7 linked regions of the Canis lupus familiaris genome follow. The protein of the gene in region 4 interacts with the protein of the main gene of each other region in a pairwise test. Links are inferred from orthologs where the notes say so. Each region holds a gene or a part of one and is shown on either strand. Other genes may lie near its edges. The genes, in order: CLIP4, PTPN11, UBQLN1, TRIM32, PTCD2, SCGB1A1 and UBE2V1.

Region 1 (3,500 bases), on a different chromosome or scaffold from region 4:
TAAACATGACTTTGGTTATAAAATGCTGTGTGGTGCATCTGTGTACACTTAGATTAGAGAGCTACCAGGTTAAATTAAAAGAGAGATGAAAAGAAAACATCACAGTGTAGACAGCTTGGTAAAAATGTTTAAAGTGGTTGTCAGCTCTCAAATCATTCGGTGAATAGAACACGAATAGAACATTGAAGAGTATTCCTGTTTGCCTTCAGGTTGGCTCAAAACATTTTAACACTACCTTTTTGTTATCTTAAAACAAATTAAGAGACTTCTTAAGTGTAAATCAGGTTAGATTCTGCTAAGCCATCTAAAGTGGGAGGTGAGAGAGAAAGTGGGTAGAACAGGGAAGTCGTCGGTTTCTGTTGGCAATGGGTGCTACTCTCCTGCGTGAGAGTGTCCTCCTCCAACGCGAATCCTTACAGTACAATTGCTTGGGATATAAAATCTTGTCTGTATGAATTACGGCACAGTTGGATGAAACCAGGCACTTAAGTCAACACTAGATAATCCACAATGGAGAAAGCTAACTGGATGAGCTTCAGAGGGTTTTACCTGGAAAGCCATCTTGTTGGTTCACTTCTTGTTTTCCAACCTTTGATATGTTCTTTTCCTTTACCTTGTTTTAGTTACTCTGCTTGGATCCATCAGCAGCTCCTCCTCCACATCATCTTTGGAACACAAACCAGGCTACACCAAGAAACTGAATGCACGTAACAATCACAAGAAGACAATGAGCAAAAGCCCGTCTGTCTCATCTAGAGCCAGTGCTGGTATCTATGGCTTTTTCAACCAGGCTTTCTTGGTGTTTTTTATCTTGGTTTGTTTGTAAGTAGATTTGATCTTTTTAAATGTGTAGAAGGAACCTTTTACTTCAGTCAGATTGAACTACTTGCCCTCTTCTGTCTTTCCCTTGCCCCCCTCCCCCGTCCCCCCTATTCCCCACTGCCCCCCATGAGCGTCCTTGGTCTCCCTGCCTTCCTCCCAGTGCTCCTGCCATGTTCCTTGTCTGGACTCCCCTCTTCCCTTCCACATGCTTGTAATGCCTCTGACCCTTTAAGGTGCATTTTAGAATTTTATGGTAGATACTTAGATGTGTGGAAACCATGTGGTTATTACCTTTCTTATCTCTTTTCTAATCTAGACCTAATAATAACTAACATGTATTGTATACTTATTATTTCAGGTTCTATTCTAAGCACTTTATAGACCTTATTTCACTTAACTCTCAAAACAAACCTATGGGTAGGTACTATTACTATCATCCTCATTTTATGAATGAGGAAACCGAGGCTTAGGGAGGTAAGTCATTGGTGCCTGATGCCAGTTTCCAAGTGGCACAGCTGGGCTTCACCCTGAGGTCTGTCTGCTGCTTTCTCTGCTGCTGGTATGGTTTTGCCTCCATCCCAAGCACTTTCTGCTCTTCTTCTTGCTCCCGGGTCTCCAGACCCCTCAGGGCCAGCCTGTAGAGAGCCAAACTGATGCCCGTGGCACAATTACGGTGTAAGGCTGTTCCTGCAGGGTGGTGACCACACTGTGGACCCGGCCCACATGGAGCCTCATGCCAGCGCTCTTCATGTTGCTGCTTCACATAGGACTTTACACACATTCTCACTTAGTTTAACACTCGAGGCTCTATCCCTCTGCATTTTGTTTCTTACATCTTGCATATTAGCTTTTCCACATATTTTTGTATCATCTTCATATTTAAAGTTCAAGTCTTTGTTTAAAACTAAATAGGAGAGGGTCAGTGGCTCTCCTGACAGCTTGATGACGGTAACCTGTTTGGATGTGGCTTTTTAATTCATTCTGAGTCCTGCATAACCTTATTCAGTCCCCCTTTCTCCAGTTATGTGTAAGGATATAGGAAATGCTTCATAGCAGGCATCTTGCCACAATCAACATACATGGAGTACATTGCATTCACTTATTTACCTATGTAGCAGATGTGTCCAGAAAAGAAGTGAAACCATTTTGACATAAATTGTTTTCAATGAACCTCATAATAGTTACCAGGTTCTCTTTCAAATACTTTTAACAGTTGTATTGAAGTAATATTTTATTATAGAAAATGTTCCGATGGGATTATTTTCTCTTTAAAATACATACTGTACAGTGATGGGGAGGAACCCTCAGCAATAGCATTGACATGCCAAACCCACAGGTTGGGAGACTCTAAAAGTAGAGAACCTAGAAGCTTTGCCTCAAACTGTTTACTTAGAACTTGTATTCTGAGTAGATGCTCTTTCCTTAACAAGCATTTTCAGGCCTGAGAAACAGAGTTGTGAGGACTGTGACGTAGCACTCCTGCTTATCCTCATTTTATTCATGTTGCAAGGCCTCCTTCACTTGGCTTTTGACATTTATTTGATTTTAAAATGTGTATGTGGGTGTGGAAGTACATTTTTTTTTTTTTTTACTTTTTTATAAGAAGTAGTTTTTAGTGTACCTACATATTTAACTTTTTTCCTTTTTCACAAATTTAGGCCTGATGTAGGCTTAGATAGTAGTAGGTGAAGAGACCTGTCAGTTAGAGTGAGAAAGCAGACCTCTTAGGAGGGGAAGGAGAGAGAATGGGAGATCCCTGAGAGAAAGTCCATGTCTGGGGCCTCAAAGATGTTTCCCTGGGACACTTTTCTAGAGTGAGTAGATACTTCATTTTCTCATAGGTTTGCATTTGAGGGATGCAGACATATTGGGAGGTTAGGATGAAGAGCAGAAGGAAAAGGTTAGAGGTGTGGCAGAGGTAGAAGAGGAGGTCTGTTTTCTCAGCATTGCTGTATCCTGTGATGTTGAATGTGTTGCCCTTGGTCCATTGCATAGCCTGGGAACATGCCTCAGGACTTGTGGCCTGAGGGCCCAGGCTTTAATCCTGGTGTACTGTCAACTGCCTGTGAGCACCATGCCTTAATTAATTTCTGAGTATGTATCTTCTCTATAGTTAGAATTCTATGGAAAGCACTTTGTAAACTGTGAAGTGCTATGGAAATATTAGCTATTATGAGGACCTGGGAGTTTTAGTATAGCACTTTATCCAGACATTCTTCTCTCTGGGTTTATGTTCCTCATTTGTTGCCATGGCTAAAGCCACCTCCCTTTGGTGGTGTCTTATCCTCTGTCCCCTGCCCCCACAGAGGCTTCTTTAGGCCTTTCTAGATGATAACTGTTCAAGTCTGTTTATGGGTGGATGGAAGAAGCATGAAGGGGCCCACTCTTTCTCTGTTAGAATTGAACCATTTTCTAGACAGTATTTCTCTAGGACTTCTGATGTTTAAATGATTTCAGGGATTAGGCTTGAATCAAGGTGAGGGGGAGTGGTTTAGTTCCTAATAAGGAAATCAGTTTGAGCTCATTGGAAACTTAGAGCAGTTTTCACATTCAGATCACATTCCTGTATGTATAACTCACACTGAATCCCAGTGAACTACTCTAATTCTAGCATTTTAGTAGATAAGGATTGGTACATTACAGCCATGAGCCAAATCCAACCTGCCACCTATTCTTGT
Region 2 (3,500 bases), on a different chromosome or scaffold from region 4:
AGAAGAAGGTACTTCTTAATTCTACCACAAAATCAGGTAGTAAGTTCATACATGGAATTAAATGGAACTACACGTTATAGGATCTCATTTTTAAAAATGAATAAGCCAACCCATCTTTTTTTTTTTTTTTTTTTTTAATTTATGATAGTCACAGAGAGAGAGAGAGAGAGAGAGAGGCAGAGACACAGGCAGAGGGAGAAGCAGGCTCCATGCACCGGGAGCCCGATGGGGGACTCGATCCCGGGTCTCCAGGATAGCGCCCTGGGCCAAAGGCAGGTGCCAAACCGCTGCACCACCCAGGGATCCCCCAACCCATCTTTTTAAACTCTGAAGGCTCAGATCCCAAAGAGCAGTTAATGTGCTAATAAGGACAATATTGGCACATATTGGCACCAAAAAGTACTGGCTGAACGAATGAATGCATGCATTCATTTGAAGCACTCTTCAAATAGGATTATCAGTGACATCCAGTTTCGATATTCTATAAGACTTAAATTATCAAGGAATATGTTCTGCTTTTTTCTACCCCCTCCTGACCCTGGGGTGATAAAGCTTTTTTTTTTAAGATTTTACTGATTTAGGGTAGCTCTCTCTGAATGAATAAATAAGTAAATCTTTAAAAAAAAAAAAAGATTTTACTGATTTATTCATAGAGACACAGAGAGAGAGAGAGAGAGAGAGAGAGAGACAGGCAGAGGGAGAAGCAGGCTCCATGCAGAGAGCCCGACGTGGGACTCGATCCACGGTCTCCAGGATCACACCCTGGGCTGCAGGCGGCGCTAAACCGCTGCGCCACCAGGGCTGCCCGATAAAGCTATCTTTAAAGGAGTTCTTAAATCCAAATTACATCTTGAGATTTAGGGTCAGAGAGACTATATACGGTAATTCAGAAGATCTCAAGTGCTGTAAGGCTGGGGAAGTCCCTACTAAAGTTGCCAAAACAAGGATAAATACCAAAACTTCTGAATGAAATAAAGAGAGCTTTTCCCCTAGCTTTTCCAAACAAGATTATATGCTTCAAGATATTCCTGAATTTGTACCAATAGTGTGCTACATTCTCTTTGTATTTATTAGGAGGTCTTTCTATATGGGCAACTTCATGTTTTATTCCTGGCCCAAATTCAGTATAATTGGAAGACAAATAGAAAATAGCCTATAGCAACCATCTAAATATTTTGTAACAATTACGATAACACCAAATCAGATTTAAAGCACTGAAGGTCAAAACTGGTACCATGTTGATTATTTGACCTTATATTTCTATACGTACACCGTTGCTGAAGATGTTTTTGTACAACGAAAACAATCTAGTGTTTTGAATTTTTTATTAAAGATTGTATTTATTCATTCATGAGAGACATAGAGAGAGAGAGGACAGGCAGAGGGAGAAGCAGGCTCCATGCAGGGAGTCCGACGCAGAACTCGATCCTGGGTCTCCAGGATCATGCCCCAGGCTGAAGGCGGCACTAAACCGCTGAGCTACACAGGCTGCCCCTAGTGTTTTGGATTTTAAGATCTTATTTATTTGAGAGAGAGAATGCAAACGAGCAGAGAGAGGAGCAGAGGGAGACTCTGCACTGAACACGGAGCCCAGTGCCAGGCTCAATCTCACAACCCTGAGATCATGACCTGGGCTGAAATCGAGAGTCAGACACTTAACCGACTGAGCCACCCAGGCACCCCATAATCTAGTCTTTTTATGTGAACTGAGAACCTACTAAGCTGACAGATATCTTACTTTGGCTAATGAAGCTTTTGATAATGTGGCTGCTATTCTGCTAGGCTAGAAGTCTCTCAATTCGCTGGCAGGTGCCATTCTGAGAAGCCGGGTTCTCTGGAAGGCAATACACAGGGTAAAGTAGGCAGATATCACTGCTGTTTAGACATTCCCCTGTCTGCAGCAGAGCAGTTGGGGGTGGGGGGGTGGGGGGGAGATGCCCAGATCCCCAAAGGAGCAGTCTCCTCATTTCCCTCATCTCAGCGTATTCTTAATTAACTCAGCTTTGTGTCTGTTATGAATAGCTTCAAATGGAAATGCTCCAACTCCACATTCTTCTTCATTATGCATGGCTTATTAAAATTGAAATTTCACTGTTTCCAACTCAACCAAGTTTATGGTTCAAACTGCTATGTGCTATGAAGAGTGAAGCATTTGTTTAAGAGATGGGATCAGGATAAAGATGGCCTGGATCTAAACAGGAACAGGCTGGAAACTTCAAGGCTTTCATTTCCAAACTTGCCATGTGAGAATCCTGGGATGTTGTCTGGGAAAATCCTAACCTTTCCACGTGGCAGTTCCCCAATCTGCCAGGCCAGGATGATAGCAGCTATCTCCAAGCTACCCTCTGCTGAAATACCAGAGTTGTGAAGTGGGGAATAGTTTCCAGAGAGGCCCTTCCTGGTTGGGAATGAGTTTCTCATTCCTGAACAGTAACAGCTATCTCTTAGAGGCCCATCCTGCTCAAAAGCAGAGTGTATCAGAGCTGCCCAGAAAAGAAAGTACAAATATGCACACCAGCCCCCTCCAGGATTGGTACCTGCTCTTCCTCAATCCTGCGCTGTAGTGTTTCAATGTAATGCTGGACAGCCATATAAATGAATCGGTACTGTGCTTCTGTCTGGACCATCCCTGACCTCTGAGACCGCACCATCTGAATGGTTTTGGGAACATCAATGTCGCAGTCAACACCTGCAAAGCAAGCACCATGAAGCATTAGGAGAAACTGTGGGGCCAGGATGAAGTGGTTTAATGCACAACTTTTAGCAGACTCAGAGATATAGTAAATGTAGTCTTTTTTTTTTTTTTTTTTAATTTTTTTTTAAATGTAGTCTTTAATGTTCTAACTGAACATGTTTCAAGGGCTACACTGCCTTCTGACTAATACAAATGATTCCAGAAAATGATCTGATTAAGTATCGGAGGTCAGGACTCTCCATCAGCACCACCCCAGAGACCACCACTGCATATTCAACAAAAGACCACAGCAGCGGGACCACGGCTCCTGGGCTTCATTTTATGTCAAAGGCTCAAATAGAATCACTTTTGTTCTCCTATAAACAACTGAAAGTCAAAGTCTTCAGCCCAGATTTTTAAAAATGTTTTAACATTCAAATTCTCTCCTCCAGGCTATTTTCACTAGCACTTTCCTTCCATAAACTAAAAAAGAACTTACAACTTCTTGCCCTCCAGATGACCCACCTTTCTCTCTGATGATGTCAATAAGGATATCAATCACAATGAACGTCCCTGTCCGGCCAATCCCAGCACTGTGGACAGAAGGACAAAGAGCAATGACGCTGGAGCCATTCATAGGGGTTTTGGACTCAAACCCACACTATTAATATGAACAGAAACAATGTCTGCTCTTGAGAGTATTTATAAGACTGCCTGTTTGTATTTGAGAATAGATTAGCTAAGGGCTTTGGGGTTAGTCCAATCCACACGTGGAGCCCAGCTTCTCTAGGACTTCCCAAGGCAAATCCCATACCTCTTTGACCTT
Region 3 (4,180 bases), on a different chromosome or scaffold from region 4:
CTGACACACAGCAATTTCCCTTAACAAGAAAAGGCTCAAATCTATGCAATACTTGTTATATCTAAGTATACGAATATTCTAAAAGTTTCAAATGATAAAAATGTTTTCTAAGACTAGAATATATGTTGCCTGAATATTTCAGAGAACTAGATTTCAAAATCTTTTACTATAACCTAGAGCACTACAAAATCCCGGAACAAGCTAATTAGACACGTTACCTGGAAGCTCCCTTCTGCTCTCTGCACTAATTTTAATGAACGAATGACAACAGAAAGCACTTTTCAGAATAAAAATTCAAATGTCATCAGAATAAGTTGCTTCGGAAAAGCTTTAATTTAACCAATTTACTTTGGTTACAGAAAAGTAAAATTAAAACTCCCACAGGCTTTAAAATTCTAATGTCACTCTCACACACACAATATATATATAAATCCTAACAGACAGTACCTCATAAAATAACTTAAATGTACTTTTCTATTTATAAAATATTGACTCTTTCCAATCCTTTACAATAAAATGCTGAAAGCAGGCATGAAGGTGGAGACCTGAATTAGCAATCCTAGAAAGAAGATCTAAGGGCTTCAAAAGCTAATATACCTAGCAGAGCTAAAATGAAAAAGACTGACACTATCAAATGCTAGCAGGGATGTGGAGCAACAGGAACTCCCAAGAACCTTTGGTAGAACCTTTGGTGGAATACCGAATAGTATTCCATTGTAGGGGAATATATCACATTTTACTCTTTATTCATCAGCTAAGGGGTTGTTAATCATCTGGGTTGTTTCTTTTCGACCAGCCTTTAAAAAAGAGCGATAGAAGCTCTTTTTAAAAAGACAGTTTCTCATAACTAAGCCTACAACTACGCTATCACCCAGTCATTCCACTTCTAAGAATTTTAACAGGAAAAACTCCCTCTGTCCAACAAAAAAAGTTTGTATGTTCACAGCAACCAACTGCAAGAAGCCCATGTGGCCCTCAGCAGAATGCATTAATTAATGGCATATTCACACAGTGGAAAACACAGCAATAAACAGGAATTACTGGCATATACAAGAATGCATCTCAAAAACATTACACTGAGTGAAAAGACCTTACCCAACAGAATATATACTATATAATCCCACTTATGTGAAGTTCTAGAACAGGCAAAAACTAATGGTGAAAAAAATCAAAACAGTGATGTATGGAGGGGAGTGATTGAACTGTAAAGTTCTACATCTTGATAAAACTTTGGATCATATAGGTGTATTTGTTGAAAACATTTAATGATACTTGCAACTTACTCTAAAATGCATTCAAAAAGTAAAAGGAAGTAATACATGATTAGTTGCGTGATAAAGCAAATAAAACAAAGCGTCAATTGTAGGTGACGAACTATGAATGTTCACTGTACCATTCTTTCAACTCTGCTAGATGTTAGAAAATATTAAAATGTTAAGAGAAATTTTTATACAATTGGGGACCCCCCCACACACACACACACACAAAAGGTGATTCAGTAGGTGGTAAAAGTTTCTCAGTTGATGGTACACTCTACTTACTGCTCTACTCTATTTACACCACTATTTCCTGCTCTACTCTACACCACCTTTCAGAACGATTATGTAAACCAATATCCCATTTACAGTTTATGAGAAAACTTACATGTACATTTCACATTGTTGTTCCCTCAAACTGTTCCCATTTTAGATCGTCAGAGGTCAACAACTATGCAAAATATTTTCAACAATAAGCTACAACAAATTTGTTGAATTCTTCAAGATTCTTAATTGAACAGCAAAGTTTGTACACCCGAACCCAATTTTAAGCAGTAAATTATCTGGCAATATTCTCCATTAACTCCAATTTTGTTCTCTTGCATTCGACTGCCACCGCTAATATCTGCAAAACGTGGCTACCATCCCTCTAAAATCAAACAAAAACCTTCCCGATGACTGGCACCTAAGGGATGATAAACACTAAAAAGAAAACCGCAAGTCATCAATGAAAGTCATCCACCTTTCTTCCTTAAGGCTAGTACTATTAAGATGTGGCTGAAAACGATTTCTACGTCATGGTTAATTTTTTTTTTTTTTTGAAGATTAGAAGGTAGAAAAGATTTCAGCAATCAAAACGCAGAACTAAATGTACACGTGCTCCTCGCCCCAAAATCGACCTTAAGCTGCAAGCAGGTGAAACAATGGGCACCCACCCACCCTTTTTTTTTTTTTTAACTCAGGAGACAAAACCGCAGAGGAGGCTACCGCGAACCCTCGCCCAGCCCGGCCTCCACCCCGCCCGGAGCGCGGCGGTGGTCCCTTTCCTTTGTGAGCAGCGGGAGGGAGGCGGCGGGGGGCGGGGGGCGGGGGGCGGGGGGCGGGGGCTGGGGCGGGGGCTGGTGGTCCGCGGACGCGGGAGCGGGGGGAGGGGGCGGCGTCGGCGCGTCCCACAGCAGGCCGCGGGGCCCCGCCACAAGCCTCTGCGGTGTCCCAAGGAGCACACCCGGCAACTTGGGTGTGATCTGATTCGGGGCGAGACCCGCGAGGCGGGCCGACAGCACCTCGGGGGACGGTCTCCTCCCGCCGCGGGCGGAGGTCCCGCCGCCACCCCCACCCGGGCCCGCGGCCAGGGCGGCCCTCACCTGCTGCACGGAGCTGTTCTCGGGCACGGCGAACTCCTCCTTCTCCTTCGGGGTCTTCACGGTGACTTTCATGATCTTGGGCTCCGCGGACGCAGCGGCCGCGGGGGCGCCTGCACCTTCGGCCGCGGCGGCGCCGTCCTGGGAGCTCGGAGGGCCGCCGCTTTCACCACTCTCGGCCATGGCGGCGGCGGCGGTGACTCAGGCGCGCAGGAGGGAGCGGGCGAGCGAGGGGGAGCCAGCAGACGGCAGAGCCGGCCGGCCCGGGCAGCGGAGAACGCGGGGCACGCCGCCTCAGTGACAACCGGTGCGGGGCCGCCCTGGCAGGCGAGGGGCCGCGGGGCTCGGCGCGGGCTCCGGCGCAGGCCCGGGCTGGGCGCTCGGCAGCCGCCGTGAGTTCAGACGCCGCTCGGTCGCAGCGACATCCGCAGCCGCCGCCGCTCTTCCTCCTCCCCGCCCCTCCCCCCACGTCCCTCGGCCGGCGCCGCGCAGGGCACGCCGGGTAAGTCGGCTGGCGGCGTCGCCGAGTCATGCCCGGCCAGCCCCGCTTCCAGCCCCGGCCGCCTTTCTTTCCCTGTCCCGGCTCCATGGCCCAGAGGGTAGGCGCAGCCGGAGAGGAGAGCTAAAAGCAAAATGGGGCGGGAGGGATCAGTTCATTTCATTTCATCCCCTTGGCTAAAAAACAAATTAGCGTGTTCTGGGAAGCACGGTAACGGCGCGCGGTGATGACCTCACGCCTAGCGAAGTTACTAGAAAGGAGCTCGACCACTGGGCGACGCGGACGCGCCTGCGCGCTGTGGTTCGGCGGCGGCCCCCGCCCCCTGCGGACCCCGCGGCGGCCGTGCCCGGCCCCTCCGCGCCGTAGCGCTCGCCTCGCCTTTGCGCGCACCCGGGACCCCGGGGAGGGCAGTGGGAGTGCCGGGTGTCGCGGTAACAGCCGTCCGCTTGCCCACTTGTGGCCTTTGAGATGCTTGCCCGTACTGCCCGGTGCGCGGGAGGTGGAAGCTACGTTAATGGAGGAAGGCGCTTCGTCGTAACGAAGGAAGAGTGGGCCGTAGCCACCCTGCGCGATCCCGCGGAGTCACTGCCCCGCGGCCCGGGCGGCCCGCCCTCGGGTCAGCCGGTTGGGTCTGGCGATCAGGCCACCTCTGCTGACAGGCCGCCGCCCCCCGCCCGGACAGCCTGCGCGAGCGCCCCGGATTCTCTGGACGCTGCCCCGCAAAGTACGGGGGCAGAAACGGGGGCCCAAGGGCTGCCCCCCCCCCCCACCTGGGGCGCTTGAATGAAGCCGAGGTGTTCGTTTTACATTCTGTCAAGTTATTCCTGCAGTTCAGATTTTAGGTTCAAAAATCCTTTTTAGTAGAGTGTGGGTATAAATAATTTAATTATCTCCCCCCCCCCTAGAACTCGGGCTTTGAAATGACGTCATTTGCCTTTAAAGATGACTTGCAAGGAATATAGAACCCAGGACATTAGCTTTATTAATCAGTATTGCGCAAATGGAAACCCAGACAGCCCACAGTGACCCAAATACGCAAAGACACGTTCTGTATTTGTGTTTTT
Region 4 (2,631 bases):
TGCTACCACCAAAAAAACAAAACAATTTTGAGTAGCCCAGCTTAGCAAATCTGGTTTCTTTAAAAAGCAGGGTGATGGCTCTTTGGCTTGCCATCAGCCCTGCATCTACAGAGCAAAACTCTGTTGCTCAGTAAAAACCGAGCCTGAGGATCCTTGTCACAAATTCCCTCACCCCCTTCTGGTCTTTTTTTTTTTTCAAAAGACAAGGCTTCTTCCTTTTTTGAACTCTAATGACAAAGATATAAAATGGCGGAGGCTCAATTTCTAACAGGACGTTGGTGACTCTGTAGACCTTGGGGGGTGATTCTGTACACGTGTGTGTCGGAGTAAACTTTGGAATTCTTTACCTAATGGTGCCTTAGGCTGAATTTTGATTGGGGGTAGGTCCTTAATGGTCTCAAAGACTGCAGTGTCAGATACGGAGGCGAAACAGCCTGGTACAACTTATCCCTCTCATCTCCCAAATCCCATATTTAATTAAAAGACATGAACACCAGCGATGAAGAAACAGTTATCAATTATTTAATTCTTGATGGAGAAATGGAAATAAATCTCAAAACCAAGTATTAGGCAGTCACTTGAGGAAAATACAGAATAAAGACCGAACAGTTCTAATGAAAATGAGATGTGTCCACCTCCCCACTTGGTGGACCCTGGCCTGTGTTGCGCAGTTCTGCAGACAACTCTTGGCAGAGGCCAGTGGAGAGAGGTAATATGAAAAACGATGAGCTCTAGAAACTATCCAAGAGTATTAACTGACTAGGTTATAGCATTTGTTTTCGTTTATTCGCATCGTTCTGTGCTTTGAAATAATTCCAATCTATACGCTGCTGGAAAAGGCAAGCACTTTCCAGGCTAAAGTCTTCAACATCAACCAACTAGGGTCAATCCATTCTCTGTCACATCTGCAATTAGAGACCGATCCAAGATGGCACAAAACCCCCAGAACCAAGACGGACTGCTTCCCAAAAGGACTGCAGGTCTCCCTTGATGGCACTGAATGAATGAGCTTCCACTCTGATAAAGGTGACGAGAGACCGGCGACATCATGCCACAGGGATATGATGTCTAAAACGAAAGGCGGAGCAGATCCCACTGGAGCTTGCACACTAAATGCAGCAGAATCGAAGAGAAAGTGTCACGTATGAAGTGCATTATAGTAAGAGGGAAATACGAGACCAGGGTTAGCCAAGCCAAAAGAGGGAAATCAACAAGGATTCAGTACAAGGGCAAATTCCAAACACGGGGGCAAAAGGCTCTCTACTGAAGCCTCAGAAGTGCCTAAGTTCTAATCAAACTTCAGCTAACCCCATATCAGATGTCCTGTTTGGGGAAATACATCTGTTCAAACTCTAAATTTAGGAGGGAAATAATGCAAAACAACAGCAACAACAACAAAAAAAAACCCACCCACTAAAAGACAGCTTCTAAAATTCTAGGACTAGCCAGCGGGAATAAAGACACAGGCCCAGTGCACTCTACAGTATCACTAATAACCGAGGGATAAGGGGAAGGAGGCTGGCTGGGAAGCAGAAGAAATTGTTCTCTCTTATCCCCTAAGGGGTAGAGTATCTTCTCAGATGGTAGCTGTAAATCTTGATGCAGTGATCCCAACAGTCCAAGACCAGGAGCTGCCCTTTAGGAGTGAGGGCGATGCCCACCGGACACGTGAGCCCCTCTCGAATGAGGACGCTATAGCCCCCACCCTTGGGAAAGTGGAGAATTTCCTTTCGACTACTGTCAGCCACGATGAGGTCACCACGAGCATCCACACACATGCCGGCGATGCAGCGGAAATCCTCATTCTCTGAGAAGAAGTGGCTGATCTGGCGACCCAGCTGGCCATCGGGGCCCACGGAGCCGATGGAGAAGCCGCCCTCCAGGTGGTGCTCATTCTGCCGATTCTCCAGATTGAGGCCCAAGCCCTGGGTGAAGTAGACGGTGCCCTCCGCGTCACAGGTGACAAACTTGGGCCGCACGGCGCTACAGAGGCAGCTGTATTTGACCACCCCTGCTCCTCGGTCAACGGTGAAGCACCAGAGCTTTCCGCCCTCCACGTCAGTTACCACAAACTGGCCGGACGGAAGGGCCGTGATGCCCCAGGGTTTGCTCAGCTGGCTCCTGTGACAGGCCACGCAGTGGCCATCCAGGGTATACACCTTGAGGGAGTTGTCATAGCTGTCGGTTACACCGATCAGTCCTTGGCAGTTCATGGCCACTGAGAGAGGAGTGAGATTGGGCAGATCGGCGCCAAGGAAGCTCAGCACGAAGCTGTCGATGCCACTAGGGCTGCGGCGGATCTCCTTCAAAAAGCCTTTCCGAGTAAAGACTTGTATACGGTAGTTGCCCCGGTCAGCAACCAGCACCTCGCCTTGACTGGTCACGTAGAGACTGACCGGAAGGTTGAACATGCCTGGAGTGCTGCCCTTGGCCCCCATCTTCTTGAGGAAGAGGCACTGCTGCATATTGGCGGCTGGCTCGGCACCCCGCTGCTTAGCAGGTGAGGCCCGGGGGCTGGCAGCCACTTCCTCGGGGCTCATGTCCATCTCTCTGAACGTAACGGAGGTAGAGGCAGCAGAGGCTGCAGCCTCCATGGCCCAGGAATCTTCCATGTTGACTGTCCGGGGCTTT
Region 5 (4,258 bases), on a different chromosome or scaffold from region 4:
TCATAGCTTCCGAATGACTATGACAACTAGATCTAACTAGAAAAATGACGTGAACCCTTGATTCTATCAACTTCACAAAGCTCCAAAAGACTAGGAGTAAAAAAGAAGACTGAAGTAAAATCCAGACTGAGTCTCCCTATGCTGCAGACTTGTATCTCCTCCTTCACTTTCTGAGGATTATCTTGTCATTTCACAGGTGGTCTAATGGAGCAAGGGATTAGTGGGGAGTCAGGAAAGATTTCTGGAGGGCTACGGGCAATAAGTGTTTATTAGGTGCTCATAAGCATTTGACAGTGAGAGGAAGGAGATTTGAAAAGGCCAGTTGGGACAAACTAAATTTATTTCAAGAGAGAGAGTCTTGCTATGTTCATAAAGAAATTAAAGTACTGGAAAAAATGTGAAGGAGAGAGGGAATGAACTCATCAATATTTCTCAGATGCTGAAAGGAATTAAGACCTAGCGTGGTGGTGTGTTTTCAGCTATTTGTAATAAAAATGTTCAAACATATCCAAAAATAGAGAGAGGACATTATGCTCTCATGTGTCTATCACTGAGGCTCAACAATGACTAATATTTTGATAATCTAAAAAAAAATGTTTTTAGCCTATTGACTTTTTCAGCAGAGTAGAAAAATATGAAAATGCATCATAGGGGGCACCTGGGTAACTTGGTTCAGCTTCCAACTCTTGATTTCTGGTAAGGTCAGGATCTCAGGGTCACTGGATCAAGCGAGCCCTGTGTCAGGCTCCACACTCAGCAAGGAACTCACTTGAGGTTCTCTCTCTCCCTCTATCTCTCTCTCTCCCCCACCCTCACTCCCTCTCAAATATTAAAAAAATGCATCACACACTGGACAGTGTTGTTCCACTATATTTCACTAGTATATAGACACGTAGTATATACTGGAGATACTATGTAAAACGTACCTTTGACTCAGAGGTGCATCAAAAATGTGAAAGCTAATCATATTGAGCAGTTCTCAGGATTATTAACAGTCTGAGACTTCAAGTTTGGCATTTCTAGGAAACTCCCAGTCGCTGCTGATCCCTGACCCTGAGTTTGGGTGGCATGGATCTAGAGAGGACTGGTTCCAACACTAATTTTAGCATTTCTTTAGGATCCTGGGAAAAGTGGCAAAAGGAGAGCTGTAGAGTCTGCAGTAGTAGAAAGTGAGATGAAAAGCACATTGAGGGACGCCTGGTGGCCCAGCGGTTGAGCGTCTGCCTTTGGCTCAGGTTGTGACCCCGGGGTCCCGGGATCAAGTCCCATGCTTTCTCCCTCTGCCTGTGTCTCTGCCTCTCTCTGTGTGTCTCTCATGAATAAATAAAATCTTTAAAAGGGGGGAAAAAAAGCACACTGAAGGGTAGACTATGAAATGAAGAATAAACCCTGTCAATTTTTTCTCAGACACAAGTCCCTATTCACCGAAAGACACTGAATAGGGACTAAGACAGAAAAAAACTTGAAGTACACATCACCAAAACAACTAACAAAACAGATTCAGTTACCTTTGGTTCCAGGAAGATGAGATGCAATAGCCACCTTCTTATGCTGAAATTCTTTTAACTTCACAGTATTATCCGTAAGTAGGTATCTTTTAGCTAAAAAATTAAAGAAAAAAAGTAAAACCATTTTTTTTGTGGTCTCACACTCCACGAACAGGAGTAGAACTTGACTCCCTTTCTGATCTTCAGTCAATACGAATATTCCCACTGGACAGCTACCAATAGGGTCGCGCGGGTGGGAAAGTGTGCATCTCTAGGCTACCGGAGAATTCCGATTCTCAGCAAGGTGCGTTTGTGCCTAAGAAAGGAGCTACTGATTTACTGTATGGAGATGGGTGGAGAGGAACCTGGGAGGTGAAACATAAATGTACATTCCCCGTCTAGTTATGGGATCGCAAGGGGCTAAAAAAAATTAAAAAATAAAATAAATTAAAAAACAAACAAACCAAACCCACCACGAAAGGTCACGGCTTAAATGTCAAACCGGCATATCTCGTTTTGGTTTATCCGGGCTGGCGGAAGCAAAGCCCACCGCGGAGTGTGACCCCCCCCCCGCCCCCGCCCCGCCCCCGCCCCCGCCCTCCTGGTTCTGCCCAGTAGGGAAGTGAGGAGCTACAGCCCCTCGGAACAGGCCGGTCGGCATCCTCAATCCTCAAGGGGTCTCGGAAGTCGCCGACCGCAGCTCTAAGTAGAAGAGATACATTGTTTCTTTAGGAGGCTCCGCCCCGCCCACTTAGAGACCCCCTCCCGCAGGGCTGTAACCGGCTCACGGCGGGAAGCCTGGAGGCAGCCGGGACACTGCCGCTCCAGCGCCAACTATTACCCCCTCCCCTCGCCGGCACATTCACGTTTTTTCCATAAAGCTTAGTAAACAGGGGCAATTTTACAAACGAAGAGAGCTGACCGCGCGAGGTCCTTCGGATATGAGCGGCAGCAGGGCCGGGGTCCCGAGCTCGCAGTCGAAGGCCTCGACTCCCAGACCCGGCGGGGGGTGGGGCTTCCCGGCAACGGCGGCCACGACGGCGCCCAGGTCGAGGCCCCCGCCCGGCCGCCCCCGGCCCGCCAAGCACACGGGGGGCGACGGGGGCGCGGCTCCAGCCCACCAGCCACGGCTGCGGAGGCGCCCGTCTCTCTTCCCTCCCGTCCCCACAAGAGTCCGGGGATACCTCCGAGCGGGCAGCGGCAGCCCGCGGAGCCGGAGCCTACCGCCCCGGGAAGCACCGAGCCGCGCAGCGCCCGCAGCAGCCCGCGCTCGGGCAGCCGAGCCACGGCCGCCATGCTGTCCGGGCCGCGCCAACTACGGGAGCCGCGAGGGGGCGGGGCGTCGGCGCGTGACCACACCCCTTCCTGCGCGGCCGCCGGGGGAGGGGCAGGGGGAGGGACTCGCTCCAAGATGGCGGCGCCCATAGTGTGGCGCGGCTTCCTTCTGGCCCGGAACGTGCCTCTGCCTTCGCGCTCCCTGGCAGGTGGGTGGCAGGTGCCCCCTTTAGTAGGCACCTTGAGACTCTTCCTTTAAGCGACGGGAAGCTGCGGGCTCTCGACAGCGCGGGAAGTTCTTCCGGGATCTCGTGGCTGGAGCGTTGGGTGACGCGGGGGAGGAAGGGAGGCCTCGGGCCCGTCCCCTTACCTGTGAGGTGTGCGCAGTGAGGCCGTGGCGCCCGCGCTCTTGCAGGTGACCTGCAGGGCTTTGCATCAGGGCGGCCATCTCTTCGCTGCCCGCCGCAGAGCTAGGACGTGCCCCCCTCCCCGCTTCGGGGCCTTGGGGGGTGGCCTAGGGTGACGCCTTACCTCCGCAGACTTGGGGAGACCTTCGGGCTCCGCGTAGGATAAGCGTTTCAGAACTGATTTCCCACTACGTGGTGGCCCGAGGCACAACCTTTCAGTGACCTTGCTCTGTATCCAGCCGACAGGTACCTATCTCTAAGGCGCAGGTGAACCTTAGACCTCTCAGCGGTTAAGGCAGGACCCCAGGCAGCTGAAAAGTTGTGCTGAAGTCTTTGTTTTTAAAAAGATTTAAAAAAAAATATTTATTCATGAAACAGGCAGAGGGAGAAGCAGGCTCCATGCAGGGAGCCCGATGTGGGACTCGATCCCAGGACCCCGGGGTCACGACCTGGGATGAAGGCAGATGCTCAACCACTGAGCCACCCAGGTGTCCCCTGTGTTTAAGTTTTGACCCCGCCACTCCACCCCAAAACTCAAGCCTCCTGTTGACCTTACCCACAAGTCCATCAACACATGTTTTATGTAGTTGTAGCCTATATTAGGAAGGGTTATCAAAACCTTATAGGGAATTACATTTATAAGACTGGATTGATTGGGGGGGAAATCTGTATAAGTGGACCCGTGCAATGTGGTATTATTCAAGGATCGACTGGGCTAAGATATTTGAGTAAAGGGCGCCTCACTCAAAAGGTTTTTAAACGGATCTGTTGACAGACGTCGGGGAAAAAAATGGACATTTATACAAGATAAATCGTGTACAGGATTATAGGACTAAAATGCAGTAATCACAACTGATGTTTCCAGCGCCTGTTATCTGCTCTTTCCAGCATACCTTCTCCAGCTCCTGTTAGAAACCAACACGTAGGGGCAGCCCAGATAGCTCAGTGATTGGGCGCCTGCCTTGGAGCCTGCTTTTCCCTCTGCCTGGGTCTCTGCCTCTCACTCTCTGTCTCTCATGAATAAATAAAATCTTAAAAAAAAAAAAAAAAGTACACTGTTCACAAGGCTTTAGGAACAGCTATTAAATA
Region 6 (3,936 bases), on a different chromosome or scaffold from region 4:
AGAGAGAGAGAGAGGCAGAGCCAGGCAGAGGGAGAAGCAGGTTCACTGCAGGGAGCCTGACGTGGGACTCGATCCCAGGTCTCCAGGATCACGCCCTGGGCCAAAGGTGGTGCTAAACCGCTGAGCCACCCAGGCTCCCCCCCACCCCCCATTTGTTCTTTCCGTTAGAGTTCTAGGCAGAGCACTGATGAAAGAAGTTGCTGATCTGATCTTTTACATAATGTGGGGTTTGGGAAGAGGCTACCGAGGGTTTCTGGTTGTTGTTCTGCCAGTAACATGCCTCTTACCAATGGTTAGTGATGGTCTGAGCCACTTGCCACGGGGGTGGGGAGGTGGCTGGTGCAGGGAAGCATGGGGCAGTCGGGCCACACAGAAAGAAGTACTTGCGTGGGCCAAGTGCAAGCCCCTGAGCTGGCCCAGAAGAGGCTTCCTCCATGAGCTCTGGGTCCCTGTGGTGCACTTACTCACCGGCCCACAAGCCTCTGTGTCCATGCCTGGCCCTACTATGTTCCCTCCGCCTGGAGTGCTCCCTGGATTGTGCTCCCCCTTTAGGCCCCTGCCCCAGGAACATGTGGGGCAGTCACTGGTTCCTATGCCTTGAGTCTCAGTCCCCATTCTGGAATTCTTTGCCATGTGTGCAAAGTTTCTGCTTCCCTGCCTTGGACTCCAGGGACCCCAAAGTGGCCACTCCAAGTCAGATGCCCTCCAGAACTTAGAGTCCTGCTTTGCAACTTACTATGTCACCTGGCAAAGTACTTTATCTTTATGTGGCTCCACTTTCTCATCTGTAAAATGGGAATAATATCCCAATTTCACAGGGTTATTGTTAAGAATGAAAAGGGGTTCAGAATAGTGATTGGCACATGGTCGGTGCTGAATAAATGGGAGATATTATTATTGTTATTATTACCTGTGTGCACAGACAAGTATACACATGCATCCCAGATCCACCCCCTAACATATTTCAGCCCCACCTTGCTGAGCTGCCTGCTCTATGCACAGCCCTGAGATCTAATTAATGTACAATTGGCCTTTGAACAACATGGGATTGAACTGCCTGGGGCCCCTTACATGTGAATTTTTTTTCAATAGGTGTGTTGGAAATCTTTTTTGAGGGGATCCCTGAGTGGCTTAGCGGTTTAGCGCCTGCCTTTGGCCCAGGGTGCGATCCTGATCCTGGAGTCCCTAGATCAAGTCCCACGTCGGGCTCCCTGCAGGGAGCCTGCTTCTCTCTCCTCCTGTGTCTCTGCCTCTCTTTCTCTCTTTATGTCTATCATAAATAAATAAATCTTAAAAAAAAACTAAATACCCCAAAGAGTATTTAAAAAAAAAAAAAGGAAATCTTTTTTGAGATTTGCGACAATTTGGAAAGACGAATGAAATGGATAGCCTAGAAAAAATGAAAAAAAATTAAGAAAAAGTTGGGTATTATTGTCAGAACACAGTATATAATACATATAACATACAAAATATGTGTTAATCAGCGATTTATATTATTGGTAAGGTTTCTGGTCAAGAGCAGGCTAGGAGTAGTTAAAAGTCAAAAGTTATAGGCAGATTTTTGAATGTGTGGGGGGCAGTCAGCACGCTGAAGCCCTATGCTGTTCAGGGGTCAACTGTACATGTCAGTCCAAAATGATGTTATTTCCCCTTAAAGACAAATATCTCTGAACAATACTTGTCCCCAGTGCATCTTGGTTTCGGTTTTCCAACTCTCCTGCCACCAACCCCCAGGGTCATCAGACCTACTGCCATAGATGTCATGAAACTTTCAAAGTGGATTAATTGAAATTGGCTAAAAAAACAAAAAACAAAACCCCAAAAACCTTTTTGTTTGTGTTTGTTTATTAAAAGCAGTAGAAGAGGCTGATACAGAGTAAAAACCAATTCCCAAAAGATCACGGGGTTGAGAGAGGTGGGATCCCCCTTGCTCTCTCTCTCTCTCTCTCTCCCCCCTTTTCCTCCTTCTCTCTCTCTCTCCCTCTCTTTCTCTCTTCCTCCTTCTCTCCCTCTCTCTCCCTCCCTCCCTCTCCCTCATTCCTTCCCTCATAGTGACAGCTGCAACTATTCAGAGACTCCTAATCTTTTTGGCAGAGGACGAAAATGTTTAGAAAACTCTACTCTGGTTTGGCAGTTTCCCAAAGGGAAGATCCCTTTCTAGAATATTCCTCTAAGCCCAGAATGGAAGATCTTGCCTTAGCTTGGATTTCTTTTGGAGACATGAGGCTCTGTAGCTCCTTCTAGCCCCTTTGGCTGCCAGAGTGGTGTGCAGACCCCAAATGTGAAGGCAGCACTGTACCGAGGTCTCTTGGCATCTTGGGCTCTCACCAGGACTGGGCTCTGAGGAGCTCATTATTATGCCTACGGGAATCTCCATACGGGATCTCCTCCTTTCCAGCCTCTAGTCTGTTTTGACCCTGTCATTCTTGAGTTGTTGGCTATGGAAGATGGGATCCCTTCCAGGTTTCCTCCCCGGCTCAGTGTGCTCCCCAAGTATCCGAGATAGGCCTGTTCGCAGACCCGGCTTCTTGGCTGGAAGTCAGCATTCCAGCTAAACAGCTGTCCCCTGTCCTAAGCAGAACCAGGGAGGGTGCAGGAAGGGTTCCTGAGCCTGGCCTGGGGGAGGGGTCTCTGGGAACTCACCAGGGCTGCAGTAGAGAGCCAGGGTGACCAGGGCAAGGATGACAGCGAGCTTCATGATGGGCAGGAGGCTGGCAAGGAGGCTGGCGAAGGAGGCCCTGGCCTGTCTCTGGACCCGGTGGTCTTGTGTGAGACATGCTCATTGAGGTGCCTTCTTAAATGCTCCAGGCTGTACCTGGAGGGAGGGAAAGGGGTGGGGCCTGGGCTCCATGGATGGGACCACACTATTTACTTGGGTATCAGCTTGGTGGGAAAGGTAAATATTCTCTTTTCTCAACCCGGTGGCTTTCCTCATTGGAACTGACCTCACATAAATGAGGCACTTGGACAGCAGGAAACCCGGAGTGCCAAGTGGAAGCCACAAGAGGACCTAGGTCAGAGGGTGTGGAGGCCCGGCTACCTGTGCCACACTCACTGAACCTGAGCCCTGAGCAGTCCAGGCAATTGCAGAGTCCACCCAGACCTATCACCCCAGGAGAAACTGAGGCCTGAGGCCCCTTACACACGGCTTGGGACTCCTGATGCTCCACTGGGCTCCTCCCACTGCAGCTGGAGGGTCATGTGGACCAGAGCATCCATCTCTGTGGTCAGGCTTCAGGGCGACCCTGGACAGAAACACGCAGACAGATAAAGCCTTGCTCTGGAAAGCCCCCGAGAAACCCAAGCCTCAGATCAGACTGGAGAATGTGTTGCCTCAGGCTGAGTCTGTGTCCGCCTGAAGCTGCTCTCATGTCTTATCCTCCTGATGGCCAAATCCATGGGCACTTTAGGCCTTATCTCACCTGCCCTCTTCATGGCTTTGACCTTTTTGACCTTTTGTTTCTTGAACTGTTCTCTCTCCTGCACTCCCACGGCCCTGTTCTTTCCTGATTTCCTCCATGATCATCCTGGTTCTTCAAATGTTTGCTTTTTACTGACTGTGGTTACCTGTGAACGGTTCCAGACTTTGGTTGCAGCCCCTTTTGCCCTCCAGAGGCCACACCTACAGCTGCTCCCTTCTTTCTCCAGTGCATGTGACTTAGGACACAGGCCTGGGCTGGCCAGACCCAACTCCGAACAGCTTCCCGTCCCTAGCTTGCCCTCCTTGGCCATCTGCAGGAAGGCCAGCTGAATGATCTTTCTAAAACCTGCTGATCATGTCAATTCTCCTTCTTAAAACCCTTTGAAATCATCCTCTTTGCCAACAGCGTAAAATTCAAGTGTGATCTACAAGGTCCTTGTCCACTGGCCTTTGCTTATCATTTGAGCCTCTTTCCCCGCTTCCCCACATAGTGATTTGACTCTGTCTTAGTATGT
Region 7 (3,500 bases), on a different chromosome or scaffold from region 4:
ACTCCTCTGTTCAGAACTCCAGTGGCTTCTCAGGTCAGTAGTAGTTGGAGTCCTTAACGACCCACTGCTCTTCCATCTCACTGACTCAGTTTTAGCTGAATTAGGATCTTGCTGTTCTTTGACATCCCAGGCAAAGTCTTACCCAAGGGTCTTAGCATTTGCTGTTTCTTCATTGGAAGACCCCCCTGAGCTGTGCATAGGTCATGCTCCTTCATGTGAGGTCTTAGTCATGACATCTGGTCTCAGTAAGGCTTTCTGTGATCACTCCATTTAATGTTGTAGCTCTTCCCCCATTACTCCCTGCTCCAGAACTCCCAACAGCTGTCCTCCTATATATATATAGTTCGTATTTTTGTTTTGTCATTTTATGTTTCCCACTAGAAGGTAAGCTCCATGAGGACAGGCATTTTTGTTTTGTTCACTGCTTATTCCCCATTGCCTAGGAAAGTGCCTGACCTATAGTGGATTCTCGGGTATTTACTCCAGTTGAATGAATAGTAGCGGGAGTCCCACCTTAGAAAACACAAGGTATACTGGGAACACCTCCCAGTCTGGAGTCTCTCCAGTGGGTTTTCCTCCACGGTTACGTGGTAAGTGCTGCTCGCTTCATGGAGTTTGGCCAGTTGGGGGCTCAGCATTGAAGGCAAGAGAGAGCTTGTAACTTGTCTGAATCTGAGGGGTTTTTTCCCCCAGAGGTAATAGTTCAAATGCCAGGGAGGGAGGTGGGAGGAGGGGAGAGGCAGGCAGGATTGGTTGGGAGAGCATCCCTGGGAGAGTTACTTGGTGCCCAAGCACAGGAAGAAAATTGCTCTCCCTGCCCTCCCACAGCCTCGTCCCCTACCTGGCCCCAATGCCTCGGCTCTGTTCTGGAAAACACCCAGAAATGGCTCAAGCCTCAATCTGAACTCAGGTATAGTAGCTTGAACCTATGAGATGTGTTTGTGTGATTCCTTCCGTGAGCTACTTGCCAGGCTTTGGAATTTCAGAAACAAGTAAATCAGGGAACCAGCCACCCTCCTTTGGCTTTTTCATAAGAGAGAAACTGTTTTGAATAGTTGAAAATTTTATCCTTGGTGCCTTCAGTTGACTCTTAGCTGATCAAAAGGACACCATTTTTATTTTATGCAGCCCTGGCGGCTGTTCCTCCTGAGGTAGTTTGAGTGTCATTCCAACAAAATGCACACACACCCTTAACCTCAGAAATGTGTAATAAGAATGAAACAAAAGCAGTAGCCTCTTCTCTCCTGAGGCACTTAATCCTCATGATACCGATTTTGGTGGTTTTCATCTGTTCTGGACCCAAACTGATCAACATTTTGACATGTAAACTCTTGAAATTTATCAAAGCTGCGGGGCCGGGGGGTGGTGGTGGTCCTTCTAGGCTTGGTTCAGTGGTCACATCACCTGAAACAAAACCACGTGCCCCTTCCGTGTGGGTGTGCTGGTCGGTACTAGAAGCTCTGTAAGCAAGTTGGAGGGATGACAACTTTGAGCCATTTTTTGCATGTTAGCATCTTTATTTCCACGTAGTAATAATGAGCAGCTAGATCCAGGCTTACAGGTTCCCCTGGAGTTGCTAGTATCTTGAATTTCTTTCCATTTATTTTAGGAGTAAAAGTCCCTCGCAATTTTCGACTGTTGGAAGAACTGGAAGAAGGCCAGAAAGGAGTAGGAGATGGCACAGTTAGCTGGGGTCTAGAAGATGACGAAGACATGACACTTACAAGATGGACAGGGATGATAATTGGGCCTCCAAGAGTAAGCGTCGAGCTACGGCTATAAATGTCAATGTCTTAAATTCACTGTGCCTCCTTTTAAGAAATATTAGCCTTATCACGGAAAAAGCTCACCAATGGTATATTTTCTGAAATGTGGCTATTCTTTTTTGACCAGTTTCAGTTTATATATTTGAACCTCCTCTGATGCTGTTTAATCCCTCTCATGGTAAGCAAAAACCTGTTTAGACTCATAGTGTGAATTTACATAACATGTAGACAGGGAGGTGTGAGGTCATTACACCCTCACGGCTAGTTTAGAACAGACTCTTGGGCTTATCAAATAACAAGGCCCCAGATACAGTAGCCAGCGTTCCGAAGACAGCATCCAAACAAACTTTGGAACGCCTTCATGGTTGTGGTTTTCATTTACAGTTTCCCAGGTCTGCCACACACTCATGTCCTAATTCATCAGGCCATTCAGCAAAGGCTTATTGCCTGCCTGGTTGGCTCTGGTCTCTTCCAGGCACTATGAGACCCAGAGGCCTTTGCAAAGAAGACAGAGACAACAGGGATGAGAAAATTGACCTCTCTTTTAGAGCTTTGTGATTTGTGAGAGTTCCCAGGCTTTGTAGTACCAGCTAACTTTTTAGTGTACATAGTAAAACCTCCAAGAAATGTCATTGAATTCTCACAAGAACCTGTTGTTAAGAGCTACTATTGTGTTGTCACATCCAATTTTACAGGTGACAAAACAGAGAAGTAAAATTACTTGCCCAAAGTCACATAGCTGATAATTCCCAAAGGGGTTCTGAGTCTAGACCCTGTACTCTTAACCCTATGCTCCATTATCTCCTGTCTGTTTAGATTTTGAGTTTTCATGTGTTCCCATTATAGAATTTTCCAGAGTGTTAAGTAGTAATATGAGGTAGGAGTGAAGAAATAGATTCTCATAATGTGACACTTGTTTCAGACCATGGGAGATTCCGTCTGAATGTAACAGGACCTTTCCTGTGTGTGCTCAAAGATGGTGGCAGCCAGTCATTCTTTTCACTGTGTGCACAGGCTCTGCACCAACTCTGTGGGAAGGAGAAAGACATAGGATGTGGCCCTGGCTGAAACAAGGAAGAGGGTCATGTTCATTAGGTGTTAGGACAATCTACCGTTCATCTTGGACTATCGTAAATACACACAGTGAATGACTGGCTTTGCTATTTAACGTTGCTTCTTGAGTCATCTTTAACCCTGTGGTTTTGTTTTTTGGGTTTAAAAATATATATATTCAATTTACTGTTTTTTACTCATTTCTTTATCTTTTTAAAAAATCTCTGAAAACTAGGATTTATAAATCTATTAAATACTGAAGAAAACCTGATATAGAAAACTCGTTTCTTCATGGAGATCATTTCTTGCTGTTTCTGAAAGCCCACTGTATGGTGATGGCTTCCTTCACTGCATTTCTTCTTTTCCTAAGAATGGTTAGGTTTCTTGAGGGTGAAAACTATTCTTCCCTCCTCCTTGCTCTCCAGAGCACCTGGAAATGACTCGGAATGGGGCAGTTGTTCAATAGATTTGTTCATTAGCGGACTGATTTTCAGGTTCTAACAAATTAAGAATGGACCAGTGTACAACATTGCGAATACACTAAATACCACTGAATTATACACTTAAACAAATGAGCCACCAAATTCCATTGAAAATATTCTGTTCTACCTACAACACCTTAGGTTACCCTGCGTTTCAGTTTAACTCTTTCCACAGGGGGCTTGCTTAGTGAGTGGCTAC

What was found.
Region 1: the proteins of TRIM32 (region 4) and CLIP4 interact in binary tests that used the Homo sapiens proteins (3 or more experiments, as listed by UniProt). The two-hybrid records come from large-scale screens. The link is inferred for Canis lupus familiaris from reciprocal best matches to the Homo sapiens genes TRIM32 and CLIP4.
Region 2: the proteins of TRIM32 (region 4) and PTPN11 interact in binary tests that used the Homo sapiens proteins (3 or more experiments, as listed by UniProt). The link is inferred for Canis lupus familiaris from reciprocal best matches to the Homo sapiens genes TRIM32 and PTPN11.
Region 3: the proteins of TRIM32 (region 4) and UBQLN1 interact in binary tests that used the Homo sapiens proteins (3 or more experiments, as listed by UniProt). The two-hybrid records come from large-scale screens. The link is inferred for Canis lupus familiaris from reciprocal best matches to the Homo sapiens genes TRIM32 and UBQLN1.
Region 5: the proteins of TRIM32 (region 4) and PTCD2 interact in binary tests that used the Homo sapiens proteins (3 or more experiments, as listed by UniProt). The two-hybrid records come from large-scale screens. The link is inferred for Canis lupus familiaris from reciprocal best matches to the Homo sapiens genes TRIM32 and PTCD2.
Region 6: the proteins of TRIM32 (region 4) and SCGB1A1 interact in binary tests that used the Homo sapiens proteins (3 or more experiments, as listed by UniProt). The two-hybrid records come from large-scale screens. The link is inferred for Canis lupus familiaris from reciprocal best matches to the Homo sapiens genes TRIM32 and SCGB1A1.
Region 7: the proteins of TRIM32 (region 4) and UBE2V1 interact in binary tests that used the Homo sapiens proteins (3 or more experiments, as listed by UniProt). The link is inferred for Canis lupus familiaris from reciprocal best matches to the Homo sapiens genes TRIM32 and UBE2V1.

The regions. Positions count from the first base shown.
Region 1 is NC_049238.1:23,011,028-23,014,527, forward strand, and holds part of CLIP4 (CAP-Gly domain-containing linker protein 4), read left to right. Parts: intron 1-623; coding exon 624-767; intron 768-3,500.
Region 2 is NC_049247.1:10,377,068-10,380,567, reverse strand, and holds part of PTPN11 (tyrosine-protein phosphatase non-receptor type 11), read right to left. Parts: intron 3,268-3,500; coding exon 3,200-3,267; intron 2,690-3,199; coding exon 2,538-2,689; intron 1-2,537. UniProt on the Homo sapiens protein: Acts downstream of various receptor and cytoplasmic protein tyrosine kinases to participate in the signal transduction from the cell surface to the nucleus. Positively regulates MAPK signal transduction pathway. Dephosphorylates GAB1, ARHGAP35 and EGFR.
Region 3 is NC_049222.1:76,346,940-76,351,119, reverse strand, and holds the start of UBQLN1 (ubiquilin-1), read right to left. Parts: upstream 2,801-4,180; coding exon 2,621-2,800; intron 1-2,620. UniProt on the Homo sapiens protein: Plays an important role in the regulation of different protein degradation mechanisms and pathways including ubiquitin-proteasome system (UPS), autophagy and endoplasmic reticulum-associated protein degradation (ERAD) pathway.
Region 4 is NC_049232.1:70,873,600-70,876,230, reverse strand, and holds the end of TRIM32 (E3 ubiquitin-protein ligase TRIM32), read right to left. Parts: coding exon 1,557-2,631; 3' UTR 501-1,556; downstream 1-500. UniProt on the Homo sapiens protein: E3 ubiquitin ligase that plays a role in various biological processes including neural stem cell differentiation, innate immunity, inflammatory resonse and autophagy.
Region 5 is NC_049223.1:54,585,507-54,589,764, reverse strand, and holds the start of PTCD2 (pentatricopeptide repeat-containing protein 2, mitochondrial), read right to left. Parts: upstream 2,801-4,258; 5' UTR 2,784-2,800; coding exon 2,672-2,783; intron 1,602-2,671; coding exon 1,509-1,601; intron 1-1,508. Other genes in the region: MRPS27 (28S ribosomal protein S27, mitochondrial), read left to right, coding at 2,899-2,971. UniProt on the Homo sapiens protein: Involved in mitochondrial RNA maturation and mitochondrial respiratory chain function.
Region 6 is NC_049239.1:54,708,844-54,712,779, forward strand, and holds the start of SCGB1A1 (uteroglobin), read right to left. Parts: upstream 2,801-3,936; 5' UTR 2,699-2,800; coding exon 2,644-2,698; intron 1-2,643. UniProt on the Homo sapiens protein: Binds phosphatidylcholine, phosphatidylinositol, polychlorinated biphenyls (PCB) and weakly progesterone, potent inhibitor of phospholipase A2.
Region 7 is NC_049245.1:37,205,139-37,208,638, reverse strand, and holds part of UBE2V1 (ubiquitin-conjugating enzyme E2 variant 1), read left to right. Parts: intron 1-1,609; coding exon 1,610-1,758; intron 1,759-3,500. UniProt on the Homo sapiens protein: Has no ubiquitin ligase activity on its own. The UBE2V1-UBE2N heterodimer catalyzes the synthesis of non-canonical poly-ubiquitin chains that are linked through Lys-63.